Macaca mulatta: one gene and its partner. The protein of the gene in region 1 interacts with the protein of each later gene in a pairwise test. Links are inferred from orthologs where the notes say so. Each region holds a gene or a part of one and is shown in the gene's direction. Other genes may lie near its edges.

Region 1 (3,758 bases):
GCAGAATTAATGTTTCATCATTTTAGGACTTGTTTTTACAAACTGCAGCTTAAGGCTCACCATTTGAGAACTAGGAGACCATTTCCTAATATGTAACAATAGCGACAACACAGCTAGGTAGCTGTCAGGGGCTGGGAGCCTTTTCTACACAAACTTTGCTCTGAATTTCAAAATACTAGCCTGCCTTGACACTTAGTGGAAATTCAGGGAGGGTGGCCTTAACTCAGGTTCTTCAGGGAAGTGTCCCGTTTCAGGGACACCGTGGGGTGGGGTTAGGGGACGGCTGTATTCCGCACATCTAGTTCTGGCTGGGCTTATGGCAAGTCTCAGTCCTCTGGAGTCACCTGAGTGACTGAGGGATGAGAGGCATTTCTGATCCCGTAATATACTTACATGGTTTTGCCATCTACCGGACTCCAGTTCAAATCTCAGCTGGCACAGTTACCTTTCACGTGGCCTTGAGCAAATCTCTCTGAGCTGAACTTTCCTCACCATAAATCTGGTAAAAATCTTTACCTTAAGGAAGTGTGGATCAAATGAGATACCAGGTGGAGCTAGTGCTCATAGAGTGGAAGCTAAGGTGATGAAACCCTTGATTCTCAAGTTCTGTGATTCCATGATGGAGATCCATGAGGGCTACCAGATGGGGAGTATCAACTAAAAGAAAGCAATCACGGAGTTCTTCCTGCCTTCTCTGGAGGATGTATTCCTATGAGCTGCCCTGAATGTTAAAAATAATACACCTGCCCCCAAAGTGCCTAGGACGCCTTTGTTGTCCACCTGCTCATCGTCCATCGGTTTCTGCAAGTGGACCAGTTACCTGCTCAGGAGCAAACGTTTCTATCACGATGCACCCTCTCCCAGGGATGGGCTCAGCCTGTGCTCTCCCTGCGACAATGTTGAACAGTGCCATCTGTCCCTACCCAGCGTCAGTCTCACTCAGAGGGCACAGGCTTGGAGTGTGGGAGGCACGCTCCCAGCTCACTTTGCTTTTCCCGCCCTGGAGGGGAATCCAGGATGTCTAACTAGTCTTCTGGCCCCGAGAGGGAGAGGTAGGGATAGGACCTTCCTTTAGTCCCCTCCCTAGTGGAACGAACGATTCTTTACGGTCATCTGTGGGGTTCTTTTCGTAAAGAAGCATCTGCAGGGTAAGAAGGAAAAAAATCCACCGTGCAAATACATCCCAGGCACATGCCTCCTGAGAAGTGGCCCCCTCCTCCCTCCGCCGTCCCCGGCACCTCCTCGGGCTTCGCCAGCTTCCTGCTCCTGGGAGCAGGCAGAGATCCCGGCGTGGGCAGACCCCTGCCACTGGCGTCCAGGCCCCGTCCGAAACTCACGCCCACGTCGGAGGAGACTCTCGGGATAACCAAGGTGCTCCCAAGACCCGGAGGGCAAGAAGAAAGAGCCCTGGCAAACAAAGGGCATGGGCCGGGAGCGCCGCAGCCCGGGGCGGGGGCACGGCGACCGCTAGGCCAGGGGGCGCCCGCCCCCAGCGCCCCACGCCCGGTGCCAGCGAGCCGAGGCGTGCATCTCCTTATATGGTCAAATGACACGGAGGGGGTTCTCGAGGGCGGGAGCCGCGCAGCGCTCCACTCGGCCGGCAGCGGAGCAGCAGCCACCAGCCGCCCGCGCCCGCCCGCGCCGTCCGGGAGTCCCCGGGCCGCTGCGGCGCCGTGAGTACCTCCAGCTCCCTGCGCCCCGGAGGGAGGCCGAGGGGCTTAGCCACCAGGACTCGGAAGAGGGGGCCGAATCCGGTGCGAGACCCGGGGAGAGGGGAGCAGATCCGGAGTTGGGGAGACCGGTGAGTGGAGAGGAGAGCTGTGGGTCGGAGAAGAACCCTGGGAGAGGGGAGCCGAACCGTGCGGAGAGAAGCCGGGAGAAAGGAAATGAGCTGTAGGGTAGACCCGGGAGAGGGGAGCAGATCCCTGGGGGCTGGGAGTGGGGAGACCACGGGAAGAGGGGAGCGGAGCAATGAGAGGGGGCTAGACCCTGGGGGCGCTGGAGCTCAGAGGAGCCCACGGACCCATCCCCAGAGGGGGGATTACAGCCCAAGTCCTCACCAGGTGGGGCACCGCCATGCGGGCAGGGGCTTGGCTAGCCTGGGTAAAGGCTGGCCGCGGGTCCCAGCCGGCGGCTGCGGGGAGGTGACGCTGTCCCCTTGCTTCAAGGCCCGACTCCGGAGCCGGTTGTCCTGGCACGGTGGTCTGCGCGGGGGTGTCCGGGCTATTTCCCTTCAGTAGAAATAAGTGGAGCTTGCAGTGTGACCTCACTCCTTGACTCGTGTAGACATTTAATAACTGAACCATTCGGTTAAAAAAAAAAGGCGTATTTTAAATGAAAAAGATTCTAAGTTTTTCTTAAGTTGCACTCGTGTGATATCTTAGCATACTAGAAATTGAGGGAAGAAAATACTGTTTTTCAGATTTTAAATGAATCAATCATATTTACTTTCATATCCCCAGTCAGGTTTTAATTGGAAGTAGGCTAACCCCGTTAGCTGAAATGTGTAGCTGGCCTCCAAGCAGCAGTGAACTTAGACAGCACTGAACTTAAGGCCCGCACTCCCTTCCACATATTTTGGAAGGTAATAAATCACAATTTGGGCTTAGAATCAGGAGAACTGTCTTCAAAACACAACTCCAAATACATCTCACATTTTTGGTGCTGACTCTACTAACGAATGTTTTATAATAATATATTAAAGAAAAGAGGTTTTGCACTATCCTGAAGATGTTTTAGACCAAAAAAAAAAAAAAAAAAATTTGCAGCAAGTCTTAGAAGTACAGGAATTCCTAGTCTATCAATTTAATTTTAATAAAATCAAACTCAAAGAACATTTCATTGTGCATTTATATAAAATTTTTTCAAGTGTTACTGGATTTAGATCACCCTCCAATTTAGAAGATCATCAATTGATACATAGAATTGTGTTTTCATGGTGTTTATTAGCCTGCCATGGTTTAAAATGCGTTTACACCATCATATGTCGATGAAGGCTAATGATGGGCTTACTAAAGACCAGAAACTGTTCTGGGCACATAGATTCTGTCTCATTTTAGCTCACGGTCTCACAAATAACCACAGGCAGATGCGGTAGGCTAGAGGATGCGGGGGACTGCATCTAGGCTGCCTGAATTTACATCCGGGTCCCTCAACCTGTGCAGCCTGGGCCAAATCACTTCATGTCGTGGTGTCTCGGTTTCCTTCACTGGGAAACAGTGACAATGATGTTGTCTCTTTGGCAGGGTTGTTAAAAAGTCTGGACATCATAGACAGTGTGTACCTATTTGACAGCCTCATTTTTACAGGTAAAGACACTGAAAACAGAGATCAAAGTAACTTTAACTCAGGGTTTCCCAGGCTGTAAATGGTAGCCCTGAGATCTGACCCCAGGCAGCTTAACTTGAGAACCTGAGTTCTAACCCTAAACACACCACGGGAGGAACATTTGAATATTTATTTATTTTTTAACATTTGAATATTTCTATGAGGCCTTATGCTGCATTCTTTGACCCAAGATTGCGTGTTAAGCCACTTCCAGTACTGAAAGATATTTAAATTGCAGTCAAAAACACCCAGTAGAATATTGCACACACACACACACAAATCAGACTAGATATCAGTTTACTCCCGTCCTGTGCTGAGGGCCAGTTATTCAGCCTCTGTGACTCAGGCAGCTTCCTTTGTCAGCACCGGGGCCTGAGTTGGTAAAGTTGGTAAGCGGCTCTCTGACTCAGATGCCCCGAGGTAAAAAGTTC
Region 2 (2,976 bases), on another chromosome or scaffold:
AAATCAAGAAATAGTGGACTATATGCCTATTTGTAGAGAATAACATCACCAACATTTTTTACTTTATAATAAAGAAGAATTTCATGAAAATTATCTTGACTTCTATCAAAATCATTTATATTTACCCACTGTCTCAACAGTTTCCTATAGTGCTCCAAATGCTTCCGACACCAATGTGCTGCTAGTCACTAAAGAAAAAGCAAACAAATCAATAAGTAATAAAAAATCATAAAAATGGCAACAAATACATGCATAAATAACTCCACAGATGCTCAACCTAGATAAACATATCTTATTCCAGTCATAAAATGTATATATATCTTATAGCCTAGGGCACTGGGTCCAAGTCTGTCTATACAAAGGCATCCATAGGATGAAGTACAGACACAATCATAATCCTAATCATACATTCATAATAATATAGTAAAAATATTTAATACAAATTAAAGTGACTCAACCATCAAAAACTGTCTTTAATAAATGTAAGATAAAAGTATATTAATAAAAATTACTAAATGTAAAAGACATTAAAGCAATTACCTTTCAAGCCTCAAAAGTCATATAACATTTTTAATTTGTCACATTTGTGAAAGAGATAGATCTGCATAAATGATGTAAAAATTAAGTAGGATACATGTTTAACAATGTGTTAGCTGTAGAAACTGAATTTTTAAACATCTTTTCAGAAGGAACAATCCAGTGCATCCTTTGAGGTAAGATTTTTTTTGTTTAGAGAAAATTTATGAACCATAAAATAGTAAAATTCTCTAATGATCTAGAAGATGTAGCTGGTTGTCATTTTTTTTTTTTTTCCACAGACTGTAGAAAATCTTTCAAGCAGTGAGGTAAGTTAACATTCTGCCCAATTTTAGAAGAGTAAAATCCTGTGCTATTTTTCTATGGTGTTATATCATGGCAGTTAAGCTAATGCCACTATGTCAATGACATATAAGTTCTAGTATACATTTCCTTTATATATGTTTAAGGACAATAAGTATCTGGAAAATACAACATTCTGGAACTTTCTAAATTGGCTTGCTACTTGAAATTGTGTTATGTTGCTTCCTCTTTTTTTTTTTCTTTTTTAATGAACCATACAGTCCTGTTTTCTGCCTTGAACTCTCTTTACTCTGAACTCATTCACTTTGAGCATATATTGAGGGTCTTCTATGGGTCAGACATCGACTAGGAGCTGTGGTACAAACTGAAAAGATAGAGATGCGAGTGATAGTTAAGAGCTTGCTAAGCAGTAGGTAAGCAGATATGAAAAAGGTCACATTTTATAATTACAATTGCCACTTTAGCAAATAAGTGAGATTTAGTGTAGTCCTAAATCTACCTGAGAGAGTCAGGTAGATATTTATTCTTACATCTCTCTTCTTGGGTGTGTGATCACTTGATAAGTAAATGGTACCTCAATAGACTCTGTTTCTTCAGGAAGGTTGTATGATCCTTAAGGGAAATGTTTAACTCTTCTGATTCATTTGAAGTGATCATAATGTATCAATTGTTATTAGAACATATTTTCAAAGAGTATTGCCTTTTTTAAAAAACCAAATGGGGTTTTAGAGATCATTTGTTGTCAGGGGATGAGCATGGTGGTAGAGAGAAATTAGCATCTATTAATTGCTTTTTTTGTGCCATGTCCTTCTTGACTGCATTCATCTGACTTTCTTTTATACAACAAGCTTATATAGAACAATTTAATATATAAGCTTTAATGATTATACAAAGTTATTAATGATATTATCAAACAATTAATGCCTTTATTTCCTGATTTATATTGCAAAGTAAGAATTGTTAAAACTAAATCTAATTTTATTTTATATTTTTCCATAGGAATCTATTACACAATACAAGGTAAATTTTCACATTTAAAATGTACATATTTTCAAAATTTCCTCTAATTTTTACAGATGGTAACATATTTTTATATATGATTTATTTTTAGCAGACAGTTGAGAAGGTTAAACATGAGGACCAGCAGCAAAGAGAGGTAATTTGTTAACGATAAGTATATTTCTAAAATTATCATAAAGTATAATACATACAAAAATATTTATAATGTATATGTTGATTCTAAAGAATGGTAATAAAATAAATGCCATATACCCACGAACCACTGTAAAAAAATTAAACATTGATAAAGTCAATATATTTTCTAGGATATGCATGCATTTTTAAACTCATAATTAATTTCTGGAATATAGACTAAATACATAATGATATTACTAATGGTATATCTGTTTTCAACAAGCGCACATTGGTGGGAACATTTCCAGGTTGGGAACTATGATCCTCTTATTTTCAAGGTGGATATGGTAATGAAAAGGAGTATACAGCTGGTAAAAAATAAACTATGTAGAATTTGTGCCATACTGCCTTCATTCCCGTATGGACAACACAAAATCCTGTATTTCATTAAATTACATTTATGGTGATATGTTTACCTAATCACAATTTTCAGTTGCTTTGTGTATCAATGAATTGTTTGGTATCACATAAAATATTTTTAAAATCAATTTTAAACAAAAAAATCAATGTCTCTTGAAAGACTCAAGAGACTATCTTCTCCCAAGGGAAGGAATGCAAGAATTTGGCTGGTGTTAAATCACTTCCTGAGATAAGCCACAAATTAAGACTGATTTTCTTTTTCATCAAACCAAAACAAAACAAAAATGAACCTTGGAATTGTCCCTCTAAGTCTTTTTAAACTGACCTCTTTTCACTGTGTGAAAACAATTTGGTCTATTATTGGCACAACTGTGTTGAAAAGTAAATTCTCTCTGAAGACCAAAGTGTACAGTTACAGCTATACAGGCAATTCAGGAAAAGGTTAAAAGAATGTTTCTGAAATATCCAAACATTGATTTCACTTTGGCCTGTGTAGTTACCCATGAAGTGAGTGGATTAAAATCTTTCAACAAACATTTTACTCATTTTTCCTCACATAACTCAAGATAATTTCTTAACAAA

The links. The genes of interacting proteins can lie anywhere in the genome.
Region 2: the proteins of FHL2 (region 1) and CSN2 interact in binary tests that used the Homo sapiens proteins (3 or more experiments, as listed by UniProt). The two-hybrid records come from large-scale screens. The link is inferred for Macaca mulatta from reciprocal best matches to the Homo sapiens genes FHL2 and CSN2.

The regions. Positions count from the first base shown.
Region 1 is NC_133418.1:13,501,055-13,504,812, reverse strand, and holds the start of FHL2 (four and a half LIM domains protein 2), read left to right. Parts: upstream 1-1,249; 5' UTR 1,250-1,546; coding exon 1,547-1,801; intron 1,802-3,758. UniProt on the Homo sapiens protein: May function as a molecular transmitter linking various signaling pathways to transcriptional regulation. Negatively regulates the transcriptional repressor E4F1 and may function in cell growth.
Region 2 is NC_133410.1:63,895,388-63,898,363, forward strand, and holds part of CSN2 (beta-casein), read left to right. Parts: intron 1-686; coding exon 687-713; intron 714-818; coding exon 819-845; intron 846-1,839; coding exon 1,840-1,860; intron 1,861-1,951; coding exon 1,952-1,996; intron 1,997-2,976. UniProt on the Homo sapiens protein: Important role in determination of the surface properties of the casein micelles.